4 linked regions of the Arabidopsis thaliana genome follow. The protein of the gene in region 1 interacts with the protein of each later gene in a pairwise test. Each region holds a gene or a part of one and is shown in the gene's direction. Other genes may lie near its edges.

Evidence for each region.
Region 2: the proteins of AT2G43370 (region 1) and EXO70E2 interact in a two-hybrid assay, tested with the Arabidopsis thaliana proteins (one large-scale study listed by BioGRID).
Region 3: the proteins of AT2G43370 (region 1) and SUA interact in a two-hybrid assay, tested with the Arabidopsis thaliana proteins (one large-scale study listed by BioGRID).
Region 4: the proteins of AT2G43370 (region 1) and AT4G39050 interact in a two-hybrid assay, tested with the Arabidopsis thaliana proteins (one large-scale study listed by BioGRID).

The regions. Positions count from the first base shown.
Region 1 is NC_003071.7:18,011,579-18,016,072, forward strand, and holds AT2G43370 (RNA-binding (RRM/RBD/RNP motifs) family protein), read left to right. Parts: upstream 1-1,689; 5' UTR 1,690-1,852; coding exon 1,853-2,000; intron 2,001-2,092; coding exon 2,093-2,190; intron 2,191-2,273; coding exon 2,274-2,325; intron 2,326-2,518; coding exon 2,519-2,589; intron 2,590-2,766; coding exon 2,767-2,857; intron 2,858-2,953; coding exon 2,954-3,029; intron 3,030-3,128; coding exon 3,129-3,207; intron 3,208-3,411; coding exon 3,412-3,798; 3' UTR 3,799-3,952; downstream 3,953-4,494. Other genes in the region: BIO2 (Radical SAM superfamily protein), read right to left, coding at 39-244, 523-629, 846-1,025, 1,348-1,551.
Region 2 is NC_003076.8:24,551,891-24,557,582, forward strand, and holds EXO70E2 (exocyst subunit exo70 family protein E2), read left to right. Parts: upstream 1-1,853; 5' UTR 1,854-2,721; coding exon 2,722-4,641; 3' UTR 4,642-5,153; downstream 5,154-5,692. Other genes in the region: RPA70D (Replication factor-A protein 1-like protein), read right to left, coding at 1-125, 231-377, 624-751; ECT3 (evolutionarily conserved C-terminal region 3), read right to left, coding at 5,595-5,692. UniProt on the Arabidopsis thaliana protein: Influences the subcellular localization patterns of other exocyst complex proteins (e.g. SEC5A, SEC15A, SEC15B and EXO84B) leading to their recruitment to exocyst, well-defined large punctate structures throughout the cytosol.
Region 3 is NC_003074.8:20,071,150-20,079,138, forward strand, and holds the start of SUA (suppressor of abi3-5), read left to right. Parts: upstream 1-1,952; 5' UTR 1,953-2,156; exon of another isoform or gene 2,157-2,253; 5' UTR 2,254-2,322; intron 2,323-2,649; 5' UTR 2,650-2,722; coding exon 2,723-2,770; exon of another isoform or gene 2,771-2,954; coding exon 2,955-2,995; intron 2,996-3,196; coding exon 3,197-3,911; exon of another isoform or gene 3,912-4,001; coding exon 4,002-4,073; intron 4,074-4,160; coding exon 4,161-4,253; intron 4,254-4,343; coding exon 4,344-4,423; intron 4,424-4,570; coding exon 4,571-4,724; intron 4,725-5,442; coding exon 5,443-5,527; intron 5,528-5,668; coding exon 5,669-5,760; intron 5,761-5,852; coding exon 5,853-5,921; intron 5,922-6,480; coding exon 6,481-6,660; intron 6,661-6,815; coding exon 6,816-7,008; intron 7,009-7,618; coding exon 7,619-7,989. Other genes in the region: SCR (GRAS family transcription factor), read left to right, coding at 1-932, 1,047-1,476. UniProt on the Arabidopsis thaliana protein: Splicing factor that controls alternative splicing of the developmental regulator ABI3. Reduces splicing of a cryptic intron in ABI3, leading to a decreased in ABI3-beta transcript. Regulates the splicing of the receptor-like kinase SNC4/LRKL-2.6.
Region 4 is NC_003075.7:18,191,119-18,196,096, forward strand, and holds the start of AT4G39050 (Kinesin motor family protein), read left to right. Parts: upstream 1-1,956; 5' UTR 1,957-2,343; coding exon 2,344-2,669; intron 2,670-2,797; coding exon 2,798-2,895; intron 2,896-2,977; coding exon 2,978-3,067; intron 3,068-3,201; coding exon 3,202-3,254; intron 3,255-3,628; coding exon 3,629-3,694; intron 3,695-3,791; coding exon 3,792-3,845; intron 3,846-4,067; coding exon 4,068-4,127; intron 4,128-4,296; coding exon 4,297-4,375; intron 4,376-4,469; coding exon 4,470-4,537; intron 4,538-4,679; coding exon 4,680-4,736; intron 4,737-4,817; coding exon 4,818-4,922; intron 4,923-4,978.

The DNA.
Region 1 (4,494 bases):
TGAGGCATACAAGAATACTATTTTCATATCAAAGTTACCTGAACAAACGTTGATTCCAGCATCACGAACATGGCTAAGAGTTTCAAGGCGATCGTCATAACTTCTAGTAGTGATGACGTTTGGGTAGTACTCTCTTGAAGTATCAAGATTGTGGTTATAAGCAGTGAGGCCAGCCTTCTTTAGCTCTAGTGCTTGTTGTTTCTCAATCATGCCTAAGGTGCAGCAAACTTCCATCCCCATGCCTCTGTTTTAAAGTGAGAGCCCAGAAAGTTAGTAAACACATTCAGCCAGACACCATCATCAACATCATATTCATTCTGCTCACGGATACATCAAGTACACTTTGAAATTTTCACTTTAGTTTGACATGCAAAAATGTTCATTCTAGAACCATTAATGATCGGTTCGGTGGGTTATCTTTTAAGTTAGCTTAGATTCAGAAGCAGCTGAAAAAGGGATCATATAATGTAGTATAAACAAGGAAATTCAAAGTTCAACTTAAAAAGCATAATAGTAAGGTACCTTATTTCTTTGATGTATTCAAGAATCTGGCTGAAGTTGGTTTTCCGTCCAATTGTATCTCGCCAAGCAGCACCCATGCAAAAACGTGTGCTCCCAGCTTCTTTTGCCTAACAACACATCAAATTTGTTAATTCAAATCAGAAGAGCTCATTACATCGTCAAAATGCTTCATTAAACAATTAGAGTCTTTTGGATAGAGATAGAGCTCGGATTGATAAAAACAACGTTTTGGTACATAGTAATGCATGTCCCCTTCTTCTTGATACATTCTGCTAAGGATTCTACATTCAGCAAAAATAAACATTCACAAGAAAAGTGCAAACCTTCTTAGCAGCATCAATGACAGCGTCCTTAGACATGAGTCTTTGTGCCTTAACTCCAGTGCTATATCTCGAAGACTGAGGACAATATGAACAGTCTTCACTACAGCCACCAGTCTTTATGGAGAGGAGGGTACATTGTTGTACCTCCCTGAAGTTATGAACATGTCTATGAACCTGAGCCTGAAACCCAAAGAGTCCACACACCATCGTTATTCAAGTAAAAGACAACTGATAACGAGATCAGATGAGCAACCAAATGAATAATACCTAGCTCAATAGACATTACAAAGACACTAAAATCCGGGAAATTAAGACAAATGTTTCAAAGAGAACAAACATGTTCTGGGTTAAACTAAAAATCGATACTTTCCACCAATAATTTAACAGAAACCCAAAGCTTTCTACTTCAAATTTGTGATTTAGAGTAGCTAGAACAACAAAGAGAAGAGTAAGTGAGAGAGAGAGAGAGAGAGAGAGAGAGAGAAGAAGAAGGGTAAATTACTCCATGGAAGAGGAGGTCAAGAAGAGGAGAATCATAAACAGACTTGATTTCATCTCTACTCCAATCGTTTCTGGGACCTTCTCTGATAGTCCTCTCAGCTTCAGCTGAAGCAGCAGATAATGAAGAATAGCAAGAAGCAGATTGCAGACCACCCGAGACAGAGGGTCGCAACTGAGATCGAAATACAGATCGAACAAGCATCATTTGATCTGCTAATCAGAAAATGTGGAAAAAGAAGAAGAAGAAGAAATGAGATTTGGTGTTTGGTTTGTGCTAGAGCTTTTCACTCTTCAGTGAGTGATTCACCTAACCCAAAGCAGCCACCGTTGGAGTTTCCGCCTTCGTGTGGGACCTACGAGAATATCATATATCTTTAACTGGGCTGTAATAAGCCCAATTTATATGTTGGGCTTTTTAATAGTAATCAATTCAAACGACGACGTTATTCTTTATTTCCTTAAACAGCCGGAGCCGCCGTGAGAGAGAGAGAGTCGGGGGAGAAGAAATGAGCGGCGGAGGAAACAACGTCGTGAACAAAGTGTTCTACGCGACGTCGTATCATCCGATTCAAGCCGGAAGTATCGACGGAACTGATGTTGCTCCACATGATAACGGCGTCCGTCGAGCTCTTCTCTGTTATAACGCTGGCTTATGTATGTATACTCTCTCGTTCTCTCTGCTCCTCTTTTCACTTTTATCGTTTGGTTTCTGAATTCAAATACATTGATTTGGGTTGTTTTGAAAGATGATCCTTCTGGTGATTCGAAGGCTGTTGGAGATCCTTACTGTACTCTCTTCGTGGGTCGTCTCTCTCATCACACTACGGAGGATACACTTCGAGAGGTTAATGATTGAAATTTCACTTAGTTTTTGATTTTCGTGTAGACTATGTTTTGAATATGATTATAAAAGTTTCTTCTTCGTAGGTGATGAGTAAGTATGGCAGGATTAAGAACTTGCGCTTGGTAAGACACATTGGTAAGATTTTGCAATTGCTCTACTTATGACATCAACACTTTGCTTTATCTTTAGGAAATTTATCATCTTTCTATTTCTGATGGTTTGTTACTTTCTACCAAGATATTTGTCTAAGCAGAACTGTGATTACATATTTCCTCTAAGTTCCACATTGTGTAGTATTGAGTCTCCTCTTCTTGTTACCTTTTTTTAGTGACGGGAGCTTCACGAGGATATGGTTTTGTGGAGTATGAGACTGAAAAGGAGATGCTTCGTGCTTATGAGGTGCTGTGATACTAAATTGCATTTTCTTTTTACCTCTTGTTTTTGTTGTTGAAAGCTGTCTGAACCACTTACTAAGGCACCGCAATGTGATTGTTTCATTAACATCTCCGTGTAATTACTGGAAACTAGTGGAGTTTGTTTATCAGAGTGAGAATTTTTTTGGTGTTTCTTTAGCAGGATGCTCATCATTCACTAATAGATGGGCGAGAGATTATTGTTGATTATAATAGACAGCAATTGATGCCTGGATGGATACCAAGAAGACTAGGTTTGCCATTCTTTACCTTTATTTTTGTCTGTAATGAAATGTCATAGGCGTTATATTTTCATCCCTTACAGATGAAATCTATTTCTCTCTTAACAGGAGGTGGCCTTGGTGGTAGGAAAGAATCCGGACAACTTCGCTTTGGAGGACGAGATAGACCATTCCGTGCTCCCTTGTATGGTTTTGCTTTACTCTTCCTTTAGCATGTCCAGAGATAACACCAGCTAAACATAGTGGTCATGAAATGGGCATTCTTTCTATTTGTTAATATCAGACGACCAATCCCTCATGAAGATTTGAAAAAGCTCGGTATTCAGCTTCCGCCTGAGGGAAGATATATGTCGCGCACACAGGTCTACCATGTCTTGAACTTCACCACCACTCTATAGTCATTTGAACTTTACCCCTGTTCTGTCTCTGGTGCTATCTTATTGGGTCATTTGTTAATGTTCTTCTGCTAGAAATAATATATTAAATGGGTTGTTCAATGTGTCTAGTGGAAAGCTGATAGTTTGTAAACTAAAATCTTGGTACCACAACTTACTTGTTGGATGCAGATCCCATCACCTCCAAGGAGAAAAGGAAGTGTGTCGGATAGAGAGGAAGAATATTATCGGGAAAAGAGTTCTGTAGAACGGGAAGAAGAGTTTAAAGAGCGAAGCAGCCTTAGGTCATATCACAGTCACAGGTCGAGCGCACACACACACAGTTCTCATAGAAGACGCAGCAAAGACAGAGAGGAGTGTTCCAGGGAAGAGTCCCGTTCTGATAGAAAAGAGAGAGCACGAGGTATGGAAGATCGATATGGTGACAACAAGGGTGAAGTTTCTGGCAGCAAAAGATCAAAACGTTCTGAAGAAGACCGATCTCGCAAACGTCATAAACACTTGCCTTCCCATCATCATAGGAGGTCCTATAGTCAAGATCATCATTCTTCCGACTAAGTAATCATATTGTAAAAAAAATAACAATAATATTTGGTGTTACAGATTTTTTTTTAATAATATTTGGTGTTAGAGACTTTTAAGAGTGCCTTTTGAACCAAAGAAAAAAAAAGTGTAGTGTATGTTAATCAAATATAGCAAAACAGAAATTGTCTTTTTTTTTTAGTTACAAACAAGATATTTGTTTTGCAATTAACATGAGTGAATTGTCTTTATATCTTAAATTATGGCCGTATAGATTTGATTGTTAAGATATAAAAAAATTTGGGATGATGCAATTTGTAATTTATCTAAATGGATAAAATAGTTCATCAAATATTATTATTTTTATGAACTATGACATTACAGTTGGATTTGTTTCTGTAGTTTATCTTATATTTCTTTTTTTAGAACTAATGAACTATTATTATCTTATATTTTGTTTTGTATTGAATTTGTTCGAATATAAAAACTCACATTTGATGTTGAAATAGAGATTTAGTTTGTCTGTGTAGATACTAGATAGTTGTTGTATCAACAGACAGAATTGAAACTTGGTTTCAGATTCTTGTTTTGTTTATTCAAACTCACTTTGATTTGATTGTATTTGTACCTCTCATGAATTGTCTATTAGGAGGATAGAGAGTCGCCTCAGATTGACTAGAGACAATGTCATTCTCGTACTCGTTGCATGCAAGTGGAATAAAAGTCAAATTA
Region 2 (5,692 bases), on another chromosome or scaffold:
CAGGAGAATGCTCTAGTTTCTGCTTCTTGGGCTCACGAGCCTCCTCCTCTCCGCTCTTACTGTCCAAGTTAATCTCAGAATCAAGCACAGAACCAACAGCCTCACATTTAGTCACAAGGAAATATCTGACACAGAGACAATAGAGAAACACACATGTTAGTAACTGTTGATTTCAAGAATCGAACCAGAGTGATTATCCATGTAAAGAAGAAGCAAAAGAGAAGTCTTACTTTGTAGATTTGCTTGAAATGTCGTTAACAGTGAAATCAATGAGACGAATTAGACCCAAGTTCTGGATCTTCCCAGAAATGATTTCAGGTGTGAGTGAAGCAGTAAACATTGCTTTGACTTTCGTCTTTCCGTCATTTGCACTAAATCTGTCAACCAAAATCAAAACAGATCCATCAGAACAAAATCGGTAACTAAAACCCAAAACTAGGCAATATACAAACTATTATCAACAAACCCAGATCTCTTCTATCATAGAGTCATCAAAGTCGTTGCATATCATAATCTAGCTATACAATTGTGATTGAGAGAATATAACACTGACCTAAAGCTGGAACAAGCGAGATTTAAGAAATCAAGTAAAACCCAGATCATGAAAAGCCAAGGAAACTTACGTATAGCGATTGCCGATAGGTTTAAGATCCACAACTTGAACAACGATCTCAGATCGATCGGAAGACGAATCAAAGGATGGGTTTGACAAAACGGTGGAGATGGCATCTGGGGTCACCGAAGTCTGCATCTTTCTCTCTAGATATTGAAAAATGAAACGTTTGGTTTCTCTTTAATCAGAATGGTGAAAACTAAAAGCCGTGAGATAGTGAGAAGAATGAGAGAGAGGTACGAGGGTTTTTGTAAAGGAGAGAGCTTTAAGCGGGAGCTATTAAATTCGATTAATTGTTCCCCCGCCGATTTCAATTTCTATTTTTTTGGCAAAAAACTCTTACCGCTTCTTTTCAGTATCTTTCCATTTTTTTGGCGCATTTTGTTTTGTTTGATAATGGACTTTGTATGCGAAAGAAACTGTGTTACAAAAGCCTTTCACTTCAGGCCCATAGTTTATGGTTTTGTTTTTATGTGTGGGTCTTGAATCCACCGTATCACACGTTATGATTCATAAATATCTAAAATTTATTTCCAACAAATACAATTTTTTTGTTTCTTAAAGAACACATACGATATTATTATTTCAGAAAAAGATTAAATACAAAATCCCCAGGATCAAAATCAAACACCAATTCCAGATTAAACAATATCAACAATCTTTAATGTTTTTGACTTTTTTTTTTCTCTGAATGTTTTTGACAATTGAAAAAAATAATTCTACGCATTGCGTGAGGCAAACATTTAAAATTTTAATTTATATAAAGAGAAAATTTATACTTCTTGACTTGGGAAAAAAAAACTTGCTGAGGTCCTTACTTGATATGAGCTGTCAACTACTAGTGTGAGCCGTACAAATATAATCGGACGGTTCAGATCAATACATTGCGAGCCAGTCAAACTTCAAGTATTGACTAATCAACATCAACGTTTATTACACTAATTTATTATTGTACCCCTTATTTTCCAAAAACATAATACTTTTATCCCTATTGTATCCAATAGCTCTAAAAAAATCCACCATAAAATGTGTTTAATGAAATTCGATTATCTCTGACGACAACATTATCAAAAATCAAGACAAGAGATAGAACATAAAATGTTCAAATTCGTAAAAGTAATTGAAACAAATTAAATTCATTTCGAAGTTTATTAATTACATTTTGACCCCCAAATTTAAGTTAATTAGACTTACCATCCCCATGGTTTTCGTCCCGCCATATGGGGAAGTCAATGGACGAATCAATCTCAATTAGATTCGGGGCGGCCCAAAAATTTATCATTTTCTAAACCTTTCGTAATCTACGAAATTACGGGATCGCCTTCGTTGGAATACTAATTCCATTTTTCAACTTTGTTTTTATAAATACAGTTTACGTGCACCACAACTTTTCTTCTTTCCCTTCTTCTTCCCCAATAATCTCGCTGAAACTCTCTTGCTCTTGCTTCTAAAAATCTGTTCTTTGAGACTTTGATCACACAGTTATCAAAATCATAATCTCTTCTTTCCTGGTTTTTTTTTTTTTCTTCTTCTTCTTCCCGTTTCACGGTACGTTTACTCTGTTCGATCACCGAGTGTATGATAAAATGTTTCTGTGAAATCAAATAACATATCACTTTCTAATAAACATCAAAATTTCTCCTTTTTTACAGAAACAAGAAGTTTTTTTGGGAAAGCCGTTGACTTGACTTTTTCTTTGGGGTGTTGTGTGGGAGCTTATAGTATGGTACCATAAGTGGGAGCTTATAGTTTGGGGTGTTGTGTGGGAGCTTATAGTATGAGGAAAAATGTTAGATTTGAAGAATGCTTCACTGATTTTTTACCATAAGTATGTCAACTGGATTAAGCTTAAGTAGTAATGGTTTTTACTATGTTCATGTGGGGATTTCTCTTCCTCTCTGTTTACTTCATTCCGAGATGACTTGAGATTTTTTCAAAGTATAGTTCTTGGAGTTAAGCTTACCTAGTAATCACTTTATATAACATCCCTTCGTTTACATTTGTGCTTTCACCTGGAAACACTTTAGACTTTTCTCTCTTCTGCCGTGTGTATTTAGTTGTCTAGTCAAATTTAAGTTGAGTTTAGGCTCTAGTCTTTGGTTTTGGTTATGGCAGAGTTTGATTCCAAGGTTCCTGTTTCCGGAATGAACAATCATGTCTTTGAGGCATGTCACCATGTTGTTAAGGCACTGAGGGCATCTGATAACAACCTGGATGCCAATTTGAGAAAGCTCCTAAGTGACCTAGAGATGCATTTGTCAACATTTGGGATTGCTGATACCAAAGTTGAAGATGCAGGATTCTCTGAGATCAAGAAGAGATTCAAAGAAGCTGTGAAGAGAATCCGCAGTTGGGAGACAAACCAGTCGACGATGTTTGAAGCTGGTCTGTCTGAAGCTGATCAGTTCTTTCAAGCCCTGTATGACGTTCAAACAGTTCTTGTGGGTTTCAAAGCTTTGCCCATGAAAACTAACCAGATGGAGAAAGATGTTTACAACCAAGCTACGGTTGCTCTTGACATCGCGATGTTGAGGCTTGAGAAAGAGCTCTGTGATGTTCTGCATCAGCACAAACGGCATGTACAGCCTGATTACTTGGCTGTTAGTTCCCGTAGAAAAGATATTGTGTACGACGAGTCCTTTGTCTCCCTAGATGATGAAGTTATTGTCGAAGCTTCTTCACATGAAGATGATGAACAGATATCGGACTTTTATAATTCTGATTTGGTTGATCCCATCGTACTTCCTCACATCAAAGCTATTGCAAACGCCATGTTTGCTTGCGAGTATGATCAACCATTCTGTGAAGCTTTCATCGGCGTTCAAAGAGAAGCTCTGGAGGAGTATATGGTTACTCTCGAAATGGAAAGATTCAGCTGCGTTGATGTTCTCAGAATGGACTGGGAGGATTTGAATGGTGCAATGAGAAAATGGACAAAGGTTGTTAAGATCATTACTCAGGTCTATCTCGCCAGTGAAAAACAGCTATGTGATCAGATTTTGGGAGACTTTGAGTCAATTTCTACAGCTTGCTTCATTGAAATCTCAAAAGATGCAATTCTATCACTCCTCAACTTTGGAGAAGCTGTGGTGCTGAGATCTTGCAAGCCAGAAATGCTTGAGCGCTTCCTTAGTATGTATGAGGTTTCAGCAGAGATTCTCGTGGATGTCGATAACCTCTTCCCCGATGAAACAGGCTCGTCTTTAAGAATTGCATTTCACAACCTGTCAAAAAAACTAGCTGATCATACAACCACAACCTTCTTAAAGTTCAAAGACGCAATAGCCTCAGATGAATCCACACGCCCCTTTCATGGAGGCGGGATTCATCACCTGACCAGGTATGTAATGAACTACTTGAAGCTTCTCCCGGAGTATACCGACTCACTAAACTCACTGCTTCAGAACATACACGTTGACGACTCCATCCCCGAGAAAACAGGAGAAGATGTCCTCCCTTCGACATTCTCTCCAATGGCTAGACACCTCAGGTCAATCGTCACAACTCTAGAATCCAGCCTTGAGCGAAAAGCTCAGCTGTACGCAGACGAAGCACTGAAATCCATTTTCCTGATGAACAACTTCCGTTACATGGTCCAGAAGGTAAAGGGATCAGAGCTGAGACGCTTGTTTGGAGACGAATGGATCAGGAAGCACATTGCAAGCTACCAATGCAATGTCACTAACTACGAGAGATCCACATGGAGCTCCATACTCGCTTTGCTCAGAGACAACAACGACTCTGTAAGAACCCTGAGAGAAAGATGCAGACTTTTCAGCCTTGCATTTGATGATGTTTACAAGAACCAAACCCGTTGGTCAGTCCCTGATTCAGAGCTCCGCGATGATCTTCACATCTCGACCTCTGTCAAGGTTGTTCAGTCTTACAGAGGATTTCTTGGAAGAAATGCAGTTCGCATAGGCGAAAAACACATCCGATACACTTGTGAAGACATTGAGAATATGCTCCTTGATCTCTTTGAATGTTTGCCATCTCCAAGATCACTGCGCAGCTCTCGTAAGAGATGATGATGATGATGACTTGAGCCTAATGGACTCCATCTTTGTTCTTTTGATCTTTTGTTATTTACTCACTTATGCAATGTTTTGTGATTGCTTACATGCAAATAAAGTTGTAGAATTTTTATACTCCATTGTGGGGATGTAATAGTAATTGGCTATCTTGTCACTATGTCATCTTTGACATGCTTAATACAAATTCAATGTTTAAGTCGGATTTAACATTTATAATGACGATGGTTTTTTGGTTAACTCTATGGACTCATCTGATTTAACTGAGGTATGGACTTGGGCTATTTGACTAGGAGATATCTTTGGTGACTTCTTACTACTACTCACCTCTGTATTCTCTGCTGGATTTTGGCATATGCAACAGCAAAGTGTTGTTGATGGAACAAGTGAAGGAAGTGAGCTAGCAGTGGAAAGAAGACTGGGCTGATTATGAATGTCAGTAATGACGTCTCTCCCCAGTCAAGAAGATAACTAGAGAATTATGCTTAGAAGATTTGATGGTAGCCTTGCTATTCTCCATCTATTCTCATCTTCGGAAAATTGTCTAAACTATAGTACCCTTATGTCCAAAAACCTACAATCTTCTGTCAAAATATGAGAAGGAACTTTTTTTGGACCGTTTGATTCCTGCATTCGAGTATGAAGCAGATGCCAAATGTTTCTCTTACTTGTCTTGCCTGAAAAGTTATATAAAACTGAATAAGCTGATTCAATACCAATCTTTTACCCATATCCTCATATGTTGGACCATTACTAAAGGGATAGAGAATAACTGCAAGATGATGAATGCTCATGCCAAAACTTCATCTACTAAGCCACTACCCTCTCAACTCGGTTCCAAAAAAAAAAAAAAAAAAGTCTGCAAATTCAGGAATGGAAACAAAACTAGAGAAACGCTCTAAATAGCCTAAAACAGCCCACCCAGTTCCCACTTAAAACCAAAGGTTGGTTCAGCAGGCAGTAGCAACAGCATTTTTCTCCACAGGTAACTCGGTCTCTTTCACCACTTTCGATTCTTTAGTCACTTCAGCCGCAACTCCTAGTGCTG
Region 3 (7,989 bases), on another chromosome or scaffold:
CCTCAAACTTTCGAACCTCTCTATCAGATCTCCAACAATCCTTCTCCTCCACAACAGCAACAGCAGCACCAACAACAACAACAACAGCATAAGCCTCCTCCTCCTCCGATTCAGCAGCAAGAAAGAGAAAATTCTTCTACCGATGCACCACCGCAACCAGAGACAGTGACGGCCACTGTTCCCGCCGTCCAAACAAATACGGCGGAGGCTTTAAGAGAGAGGAAGGAAGAGATTAAGAGGCAGAAGCAAGACGAAGAAGGATTACACCTTCTCACATTGCTGCTACAGTGTGCTGAAGCTGTCTCTGCTGATAATCTCGAAGAAGCAAACAAGCTTCTTCTTGAGATCTCTCAGTTATCAACTCCTTACGGGACCTCAGCGCAGAGAGTAGCTGCTTACTTCTCGGAAGCTATGTCAGCGAGATTACTCAACTCGTGTCTCGGAATTTACGCGGCTTTGCCTTCACGGTGGATGCCTCAAACGCATAGCTTGAAAATGGTCTCTGCGTTTCAGGTCTTTAATGGGATAAGCCCTTTAGTGAAATTCTCACACTTTACAGCGAATCAGGCGATTCAAGAAGCATTTGAGAAAGAAGACAGTGTACACATCATTGACTTGGACATCATGCAGGGACTTCAATGGCCTGGTTTATTCCACATTCTTGCTTCTAGACCTGGAGGACCTCCACACGTGCGACTCACGGGACTTGGTACTTCCATGGAAGCTCTTCAGGCTACAGGGAAACGTCTTTCGGATTTCGCAGATAAGCTTGGCCTGCCTTTTGAGTTCTGCCCTTTAGCTGAGAAAGTTGGAAACTTGGACACTGAGAGACTCAATGTGAGGAAAAGGGAAGCTGTGGCTGTTCACTGGCTTCAACATTCTCTTTATGATGTCACTGGCTCTGATGCACACACTCTCTGGTTACTCCAAAGGTAAAATAAACATTACCTTTTAATCACTCTTTATCTATAAATTATTTTAAGATTATATAGGAAAGATATGTTCTAAAAAGTGGCTTTTTTGGTTAATGATTGGGGAATGAACAGATTAGCTCCTAAAGTTGTGACAGTAGTGGAACAAGATTTGAGCCACGCTGGTTCTTTCTTAGGAAGATTTGTAGAAGCAATACATTACTACTCTGCACTCTTTGACTCACTGGGAGCAAGCTACGGCGAAGAGAGTGAAGAGAGACATGTCGTGGAACAGCAGCTATTATCGAAAGAGATACGGAATGTATTAGCGGTTGGAGGACCATCGAGAAGCGGTGAAGTGAAGTTTGAGAGCTGGAGGGAGAAAATGCAACAATGTGGGTTTAAAGGTATATCTTTAGCTGGAAATGCAGCTACACAAGCGACTCTACTGTTGGGAATGTTTCCTTCGGATGGTTACACTTTGGTTGATGATAATGGTACACTTAAGCTTGGATGGAAAGATCTTTCGTTACTCACTGCTTCAGCTTGGACGCCTCGTTCTTAGTTTTCTTCTCCTTTTTCACAAACAATGTGCCCATAAATAGATTTACCTGTTTTTTTTTTGTTATGTATCAAAAAGAGAGGATTTTTTGAAGTCAAATTGTTCTCACTCACACTCTGTATTGGCTACCTGATTGGTGGAATACATAGAAGTTAATCATGAAGATTAGAACACTTGATATTGAAGAAAACACTTGAAAATGGTACATCAATAATAAAAATGATAACACGTTTAACTGAAAAATCATTTACAAATACACAATTCTTTTGAAGGCTACCATTTTTTTTTTTGGGAATTGTTATGTATTTTTTTTTTAGCAACTTGAATTGTTTTGGTTTACTTTTTTCCAAAAAAAAAATATATACATGTTGTTTTTTATTTTTGTTATGGCAAAGAAATTGAGATGTTTGGATTTTTCAATTAAAAAAAAAAAAACTCATCTACGCCTTTTCATATTTCGCTTGAACAACAACGAAACCCTAATCTGGTTAAAGTTGGATTCGGCCAAGTCCACCACCGTGGAGCTCTGAATTCATTTCTCTTGTAATTCATCGATCGCTGTTGAATATTTTCAATTTGAGTTCCCACGGTAGAAACCATTCCGATTTATACGGCTACTTCATCGCTCGAGCTCTCTCGTTTCTGTATCGATCGCAGCGTATCTGATTTGTCACCGGTTTCAGGCTTGTTTCTCTGACCTCTGGTTATCGGCTCCCTGATTTTGCGCTCTATCTATTAATCAATCTCTTATTCCAAGTCTTTGTTCCGCTGTTATCACAGCTCATCTTCATCTTCCATTCACTGGTGTCTTTGGTCCGGCGTCGTTGTGCTGCTTTCAGTTCATCACAGGTATTCTCATTTTTACCTGTTTCTTTTTTATTGAGGATTTCGTGGATGTGACCAGTTCAAGTTTTTTGTATGTTACTTTGTATAGCTTTTAAGACTCGATTACTGAGAATTTAGGCCTAATCGTCAGCTGAAAATATAATGATCTCTACTGTTGTATGCATTCTTCTCGTGCTTTTGTTACTTCATCGCCAATGCATGTTTTTCTACTCTGAGAGTGAGAGAATCTCTAGCTAGTTCCTACAAAGTCTCTTTGTGATCAGTGTTGGGAATTCTTAATTATATATGCATTAAGATATACCTGTCTCAGACTCTATACGTGATTTTCAGGAAAGAGCTTTAAATATTAAGCTTTGAATATTCTCTCAGACCATCAAAGATTTGCTTGGTGCACTGGCCGGAAATGGATCCTAGTCGATATGGTCGTCAGCAAGAATGGGATAATAACAGTGTAATTGTGGTTTTCTCCTTACATATATGGGATGATAAACAAGATATTTTTAGGGATGTTATGAATCTCAACTCATCCGTGGAGTGAGAGACTTGGGAGAGTGAGGATGTGGATGGGATTTGGCTAATGTAATATCCGTCAATGATGTTTGTTGCTGACATAGCTTATTCTCTTCAATTCACAGGCTCCGGAGGGTTATGGTACTCAGCATGATCCAAATCATCGGTGAGTGCTAGTAAAATGGATTACATTGATGTAGTTGTTAATTTGTTATTGCTCATGGGGGTATATTTATTTTAGCTACTGTAACTAAATTGTATTTCTTGTACTTTATTTGGTTTGGTTACTTGTGCCGAAATATTCATGATAGTTCATATTTCATTTTTTTAATATCTTTTCTGTACCTATACTACATTGCTCTTACAGGTTTGGCGTATCATATGATGACGGATATCCTGATGAAAGGTTGATGCGGGATGATGTCTACAACTATCCACCTGGACATAATACTCTGGGTGACTTGCCTCAATCTAGAAAGCGAAACTATGAAGAAAATTATCCCAGTGAACTTCGCAGGCAAGAAAAGCCTTACATCGATTCAAATTATGCTGCTGACTATTATCATGATAGTGAAGCTGGGAGTCGTAATGGACATTACCGTGATCATGAACACGAAAGGTCGTCCAGATATGATGGCTGCGATGACTATTCTTGTAATGATAACAACTATAGATCGAAAAATTACCATCATAGCAGAGATGATGGTCGTGAAAAAGATTATGATTATACTCGCCGAAGTTATGATTCTGAGTATGAAAGGGCCAGTGTGAGAGATGGCAGTCGAAAGAGCCGTGATCCGCAGGACAGAGAACGGAATTCTCGAGATAGAGAATGGGATTCACGTGATAGGGAGTGGGACAAAAGATGTTACAGCCGCGAAAGAGATGAGAGTCCTCATAAGAGATATGAGAAGTCACGATCTCGATCTACCGGACGTGGGGAGTTCTCTAGATCAAGATCTCCTAGAGGTCGGAGCCATGGGCGGAGTTACCGGGAGGACAGCTATGAGGGGGATCACTGGAATGAAAGTGAGAGGCGAAGAGAATATGAAGATAGACATAACCAGGATCATTTTTCTGCTGTATAAAATATTCTCTCATCCCTGGTCTATATTCTTTTGTTGCGAAGACATTTAAAAAATCCGTTCCTATATTTTTATGGTTTTTGCTAGACCCCATCCGCCACTGTTGTTGTGAAGGGTCTCTCTATGAAATCAACAGAAGAAGATCTATACCAGATTCTGGTAAACTCTTCATTTTTTTGAATCTGTATGTCCTCAGGTTTAAACAATTTTTCATGCATGACTTCATTATTCCCATGTGCATGCTAGGCTGAATGGGGTCCTTTGCATCATGTTCGTGTTATTCGGGAGCAAAATTCTGGGATTTCTCGTGGATTTGCTTTTATTGATTTCCCCACGGTGGTATTTGCTTTCAACTAATCTGTTAATTCCTTGCGCTTTTTCTTGTGATTTCTTCAACACTGTGTGCATTTATGTATTTTGTCTGAGCAGGATGCCGCACGCACCATGATGGATAGAATTGAGCATGATGGTATAGTTTTGGATGGAAGGAAACTTATGTTCCATTACAGGTCTTTTTTTAAATAAACATAAGACTTTGATTGATTTAGATATTACCTATGGAGGGATCATAGAATTACTACACATTTAAATTATTGTTTCTTGACCGTTTCAGTATCAGAGTATAACATTCTTACACTAAATTGCGTGTGTTGTAGCAGCCAACCTACTGGTAGGGCTGGTGTGTCCCGTAGGCAGGAACATGCTTCTAGACGCAGTTATGGTGGAAGTCGAAACATGATAGTTCCCACAGATTGGATCTGTACAATCTGTGGCTGTATCAATTTTGCGCGGCGAACCTCTTGCTTTCAGGTTGGTGCATTGTTTTGGATGAAAGTTCTGTAAATTTCATTGTCAGGACTAGAGTATAAACCCATCTGTTAAGAACAGAAATTACATATATTTAATTACCGGAAGAACTACTCATTGTTTGGTGATTCTAGAGTCTCAAACAAAGTGATAACTACTCATGATTTGGTGACGACAATACCTTAAAAAAAATAGAACCGATAAAACTTTCAGAATATATCTGTTTTTTGCTCCTTAGAGATTATTTGCAGTTCCTTTTGGTGACGAATATGTATCATCAATTGACACTTTGTTTGAGACTAGGGTGGCATACATATTTTGGTAGTAATGGTAAATGAACATTTTAATTTAATGTCGACACATTGATGTCCATACCTATGCTAGAATGTATTTGTTTGCATATACAATAGTTTGTTTGGAAATAGAGAAATTTCCATTTTTCAAATGTCAATAAAAAAAGAAGTCAACTAAAACCCTTTAACTGATCTTTTTTGATGGGTTTTTAATTTATCTTTCCTTCTATTTACTTAAACTCTGTGAAGTCTTTATCAATAGTTTAATCTTGTGGTGGACAATTGTATCTGTAGCCCTTCTTTGCCATGCCGCTGTCTGTGTCTTGATTTATGATAGAACACTCAAAAGTCCTAAGTTCAGTTATAATATGGAATAACAAATTTGTGGCCATTGCATAAATGTCTGTGATCTCTGTCTCCTTATGCAGTGTAATGAACCAAAGACCAAGGATTCTCCTTCAGCGGATGTAGGTTTATCAAACTCTGCAGCAGGAAAACGAATTTCTGAGACAGGTTCTGATCAGCATTTTTATTTAAGATGTTTTAAATTTCTTTCTTGAGTCAGAAACAGTCGCAACTGTTAAGGCCATAGTCTTTGTACTTTTCTACATGCCATATATACCTAAGATACATTCTGCTTATTTTCTTTTCCAGGTCCAACTCATGTCCTGGTTGTACGTGGGTTGGATGAAGATGCTGATGAGGAAATGCTTCGGTATGAATTTTCCAAACATGCTCCTATCAAGGTTAACAAAAACCCTTTTGGATTCGTTGTCTATTAAGATATTGTACTTTATATGTCAGTTGACCTGGTTTTCCTCTTTCCGCCATTTTGTAGGATCTTCGTCTTGTGAGAGACAAATTCACTCATGTTTCACGAGGATTTGCATTCGTGCATTTCTATTCGGTAGGGTCTCAAAGCCAAGTTGGTTGTTGAACTTACTCCTTAAACTCTCTCTTCTGCTTCGCTTTTCCCTTACTGATGATTTAAATTGCAAGTGTGCCTTTTGATCAAAGATTTATTCGATTGTGTAGAAATTAGAAACCCAGTCTAGATGATCAGTACCACCTGGTTTTTATTCTGCTTGTGAAGAGTGATTATGTTTTATAGTTTTTTTTTTTTATAAATGTTTAAGTGTCTCTTTAGTAATCATGATCTACTAGTTTTGTGGGTATTTTTGGCAATGTTTGGTGGTGAGCGCACTCAATCATTTATTTTGTCGTACTTTTTTATAATCTACATTCGACAACCACCTTTTGCATTGACTTGTAAAAGCTCTTGTAGTAGATTATTTATTTCGTCACTGATTCTCTTACCAATTTCATATCTGAACGGTGATCAGATTTTGTAGTAGAACTGCTTGATATGTCCAAATATCTATTTTCCCCCAGTTTATGTGTGTATTTGACTTTTTTTTAATCCACCTACCAACTTGAAACAGAAGATTATGATTATGTTCGTGTAGGTTGAGGATGCTACTAAGGCACTTGAAGCAACAAACAGAACAGCTCTTGAAAGGAATGGTAAAATTCTTAGAGTTGCGTATGCAAAGAGTGTTCATGGTTCTGGAACTGGTATATCAGCACCCTCGCACTCCAACAACCTCGCTGCTGCTGCAATTGAAGCAGCAACGTTTTCTCAACAGGTACTTGAAGATTGTTTTGATCCAGTTTCCCTCGTTTGTATTGGTGATCACACATTGATCATTTAATTAAATTTTCCAGTATCTTTAGATGAGGATTGTCATTCTTATGATTCTTCTACTCCATGTGCCCTGACACTCATGTTGGTCCTTATTAGTATGACGGTGTTGGATGGGCTCCAAAGGAATACAATACTGGTGAGAAACAAAACACTGGAGGGCAGGCCCAGGGTGTTGGGGAAATTGAATCCCAGAAAGGGACTTCTGCTCCACAGTCTGGCTATGTGTGGGATGAAGCATCTGGTTATTACTATGATGCGGCTTCTGGATACTACTACGATGGAAATTCAGGTCGGCATTTACTTATATTGTTATTTATTTCTTTGAATTGATTGTATGGTTGGGTAGCTGCAGCTCTAATTCCCATATCTGGCATTGCAAAACATGTAATGGGCAAAAGTAAGATTGATCCTGTTGGCTGGTTGTATAGTCCTGCTATAGATGTATTCTATTATAGGATAACTTCTTGGCAAAAATAAGTCGTCAGCTCTGGTTTGTTCAAACTATCCTGTTCTTTTTTATGATTGTGGAATTCTTATACTATGTATGCACCAAACTAGCAAACATCGAGATACAATCAATCAATCATACAAGTGTATGTCTTAATTAGACTTTTAAATAATGGCTGTAGGGATTCAGCAAGTGTTATATGATTACTATTATGGCTGCTGTTGGACTTCCAATGGAAGTTTTTTCTTTTAGTTATTGCTGAGTTATGCCTTCTTATATATGTGTATGTGCCTTAAAATTTCGCATCTGATATGGCACAATGATAGACTGTTTTAATGATCTTGGTTATCACTAGGCACCTCTTCTTGGTGTGTGGTGATGGGAAACTTGGTTTCACTGGTATAAGAAGTGGGTAATATTCTCTATTAATCGTATGTTTCTAAATATACAGGTCTCTATTATGACAGCAATAGTGGGCTTTGGTACTCGTATGACCAGCAAACACAACAATATGTTCCTTGTCCTGATCAGAACAATGAGAGTAAAGTAACAGAAAACCAACCAGACTCTGCCAAGAAGGAGAAATCCAGTCAACAAAAGGTTATTATCTCGGCGGCTACTACCCCTAATGTAGAAAAAGTTCTGTCCTTACCAGATGCGGTTCAGGCGGCTGCTGCAGCAGCAATTGCATCAGAGAAGAGAGAGAAAGAGAGAGTGAAAGAGATAAAACTTGCATCAAAGACTAGCCTACTCGCCAGCAAGAAAAAAATGAGTAACGTTTTAACAATGTGGAAGCAGCGGAGCCATGAAACCCAAATACAA
Region 4 (4,978 bases), on another chromosome or scaffold:
CAAAAAGGTCCTATGACAACTACTTAGCTTCGAGAAGCAGGCACTATATATTTATCGCATAACGGTATTTATTTCATTCAATAATCTTTTTGTTGCATAAATTTACAAAAATTTGAGTGTGTGATGTGTACATATTTCTGACGAATACTTTTTGTTGCATTATCCAAATTTTTACATGTTCCCGAGCCGAGAGTCTAAGACGACGATTTCCAAATTATTGTCGTTGCTGTTATTATAATTGTTAATAATAGTAAGAATTATTATTATTATTTAGGACACGCAAGATTCCACATGATACTGCTTAAGCACTACGTCGAGCTAAAATGAAATACTCGATTTAAATGAACTACCCCATTAGTTACTTGAAGATGAAACGAAACAATTTGGTTTTGGTCTTTTGGATCATATAGTTAAACGTTATGTATCTTACTCAGTTTATTTTAATGAAGTTTGTTGTTTGGTATATCAATTAGCCTTAGATGTCAAATCAAAACGAAACAAAAACATGAAAATTCAATTTGGCGTTAAATCAAAATAATAATTAATATTCCATGGATAATTAATATACACTTAGCAAATTACCGAAGTACCCTTGCTATCTCGTTGTCGTCAATAATCAAAATTACAGTATTAACCCAATTAAGAGCGTTTAGCGTCTACGTGTAAAGCGGTATCAGGAGAAAGGAGCAGCGATCACATGGGTGGCTTAAATCTATATCCTCCGGTTCCTCACCGGCCAATTATTCTCGCGCGTGTCTCCGCTCCTCTCTGATGCGCGTCACTCAAAAAGTTTGAGTCAAACTCCAGTAATATTTTTGATTTATTTTGTATTTTCAAGAATTTCTTAAAAATTGCTGTTACGTAATTTACAATGCAATGTCTCGCGGTAAAGGTAGAGCCGGAACTCAAGTCAGATCAATCTCCGTGTATGATTGTGTTCGCATCCAATGTTAATAATTTCAGGATTTGTATTTTCCAAGTTAAAGGATACTATTGTTAACTAACGTATATGCTGACAAAAAAAATAAAAAAATAACGAATATTATAAATTTATATCAGTCGCATAATGAAATGTGTAATTTCACCCAGACAAAAATATCTCTACAGAACAAAAAAAAAACGTTTGTTATATATGTTTATTCTGTATATTTAAAATGTAGTCTAACGTTTGTTCTATATGTCTACAATGTGTATTTATATTTAAAACATATTCCATCCTTAATTTGCTTTATATTATTGTTACACCATTCATAGTAATGGAAGAAATATCTATTGGCATTCTATACTTTATGATATATATATATATATGAACCAAAGTATTGTATGTCCAACTGGGACATTTTATATGACGGCGGACGAATAAAGCTTAGCAGATATATATGTACGTGCTGGTAACTCCATATTCATTATTTTGGATTTAAGTTGTAACTCCATACACAATACACATTGATGGATTAGCATTGCATTTTTTTTATGGCATTTTATATCAAAAGATTCTCAATCAAAACTTAGATAGATTCCTAAAGCTTGTAATTAAAGCATCAAACATATTTGTTAACCAGTTATTATTTTTGAAATCGAGTAGTGTTTTGTTGATGCTACATATTATTCCATCATAAAAAGAAAATTAATGTGTGTGTAAGTGTGTTTGAAATAAGTCAATATCTTAGTACAGTAATTAACTAATTATACGAAGAAGAACTATAAGGGTAAAAACGGTAATTACAGTATTTGGTCAGCCATAGTTATTCCCGCTCGTCTCTTGAAAAAAATTCAAACCGGTAAACCATTTTGGTCATACACGTTACAGTAACACGGTGGTCTGGTCTTCAATAATAACCACGTCAGCAGCATACAGTAAAAACTACTTTAAATGTTTTTTTTTATTCTCACCCAAGAAAATAATTTATTTTTGTTTTGTCGTTCTCCTTCCTAAATAATTTTTCAACTACCACAATTAATTTAAAAATTAAAAATAGAGTATATTTGGAAAGGCACAAAAAAAAGAAACAAAATTCAAAATCTGAAATTTCTCAGCCTCCTCGTTTCTTCACCCAGAGGAGAGAGAAATCTGAGGAATTCGATCTTCGCTTAAAGAAGACGAAACAATCTCTCTCTCTTTCTCTCTTCAATGGTCTCACCATCTCTGTCTACCATCTCCTAGCCAAAGAAGAAGACGAGAAGAAGAAGAGAGGGTCACAACAATGCTTTATTCTTCTTATGTCTCCAGCCATGTGAGCTCCCACTGACACATTCTCTGCATCTTCGGAAGTTTTGTTTTGGTTTGATTCTTCTCACCGATTCCTGCGACCGAGTTTGACCCTCGAGTTTCGAGGTTAGTGGATGGCTTCATCCTCATCGAGAACTAGAAGCAGTAGACCTCCAAGTCCCGCTTCTTCCACTTCTTCTTCTCATCTCAGCAACCGTCTCATTCCTCGTTCTAACTCTACCTCTGCTTCCTCATTGATTACCTCCGCCGCCGGAATCGCCTCCCGATCTATGACGCCTAGTCGCACCTTCTCCGACTCGGGCCTTATCGGCTCCGGCAGCTTTGGAATTGGATCGCCTGTTCCCTACCCGTCAGAGGAGCTTCTCGGTGACCCTATGGACGATACTATTAGCTCTGAGCGGGATAGTATCTCCGTCACCGTTCGTTTTCGTCCGTTGAGGTATGCTAGATCTGATCTCGCCATGGACCAGATCTATTGCAGAGATTACAGTTTTCATGTAGATGCAATTGGAGTCAATTCTTTATTGGGGTTTGCAAATTCAAGTTTTTATCTTTGTGGGTTTGCAGTGATAGAGAGTATCAAAGAGGAGATGAAGTTGCTTGGTACCCTGATGGTGATACATTGGTTAGGCACGAGTATAACCCACTCACAGCTTACGCATTTGGTATTTGGTTCACCTCTCAATTATTCTGAATGTTTTCTTGTAATCATTGAGTGAATGTTTTCCAAATTTGTTTTGATGCCAGATAAAGTTTTTGGACCACAGGCAACTACTATTGACGTTTATGATGTAGCTGCGAGACCAGTAGTCAAGGCAGCAATGGAAGGTGTTAACGGTAAGTAACATTGCTGCAAAATTCAGCTTTACCAAAATCTGTATCTTTTATATAGAAATATCCTCTAAACCAATTGGTCCGCAAGTAGTATTGCTTGCAACATATTTTCTGACTCAGGGTTGGAATTTTGACAGGAACCGTTTTTGCTTACGGTGTTACTAGCAGTGGAAAGACACATACAATGCATGTAAGGGTTTTAAAAAAGAAGAATCCTTATACGCCTTTCTCTCTAGTTTTTCTTCAAAACACATGTGCTATGAATTGGGATCTCTTCTTCAACTTGGTCCCCCTTTGGTATCTGCTGGTTATTCTGGGTTACTCTAAACATTTACATGGTAGCAAAAGATACCATACAAATACCAACTTGCCATCATTAATTGGTGATGGTTATGTGAGTTGGAAATCCTCGTATGAATGGAATTTGAAGGTCTTCATTTAGATTGGCTGTGCTTATCTTTAGTGAAGTAGCTACGTTGGGTCTTTAGTTCCCGTCCAAACAAGTAGAACCTAAATCTGATGTTCTTTTTGTTCTGCCATTGGTTGCTTTTGCAATATGCATAGGGTGATCAAGAATCTCCTGGGATCATACCGCTAGCAATAAAAGACGTGTTCAGTATCATCCAGGATGTAAGTGGTCTTAACGGGGTTCATGTCTTTTCTCATCTCATCACGACTTTTTTATATGATTTCATGCTCGCTAACTGGCTACATTTTTATATTTCAGACTCCAGGAAGGGAGTTCCTGCTCCGTGTTTCATATCTTGAAATATACAATGAGGTAAGTGGAACTTTTTATCCTTGATATATTTACTTGGTAATCCCTGAAAAGTAGATATTTTTAGATTGGGATATGTTTTCTAGTTCTTCTGCCTTATCTTTGAGAACTAGAATGCTTAAAAATATAGAGAATTGGGTGACTGTTCATGATCTTCTTGGTTTTACATGTGTGCTTCTATGTTTCAGATATCCGCAGTTTATCTGATAACCGTCTTTGTATCAGGTGATAAATGATTTACTGGATCCAACAGGCCAAAACTTACGTGTTAGAGAGGATTCCCAGGTTTGCTTCAACCTCTATAGAATGCTTGGCTTTCTCCCATTTCTCTCTCACACACGCACACACATTGTGCTCTACTAGAATAAATGTGAACAAATTAGCTTAGAATCACATGTGAATTTGATATCATTTGAGAAAAGATATTGATTCGTTTTGCGTTTTGTTTTTCTAGGGCACTTATGTTGAGGGTATCAAGGAAGAAGTTGTTTTGTCTCCTGGCCATGCACTATCATTCATTGCAGCTGGGGAAGGTTATTAGATAATTTAACCCCTGAAACATGTTTTGATTTTGTCAACTCTGTCCTTCCCGCCTCTACTTAACATTGCTGTTGTTTTTAATTGCAGAACATCGTCATGTTGGTTCAAATAATTTCAATTTGTTGAGCAGCAGAAGTCACACTATATTTACACTGGTACGTCTTCATGCTCCAAGCTCCAAGAGCTTGTCATATTGTAATTTGTAGCCTCTTTTCAGTGTCTCGGCATGATGTTTTGCTCTTACAAGGTGTCCTTACAATGTACATGTTTTGAAGTCTAATTTGTATGTGTTTGCAGATGGTTGAAAGTAGTGCTACTGGAGATGAATATGATGGAGTTATCTTTTCTCAACTCGTAAGGGCCTCTTTCTTTTTGTTATTGTATAAGATCAATTAGTTTTGAAAATGGGACCTAACTGTATATTTTCTTGTTTAGAATTTGATTGACTTAGCTGGATCTGAGAGTTCGAAAACTGAAACAACTGGATTGAGGAGGAAGGAGGGTTCATACATCAACAAGAGTCTTCTAACTCTTGGAACTGTAGGTGTCTATTTTTGATTCGAGCTATCTTTCTATTTTTCATCTGTTTCTTTAGA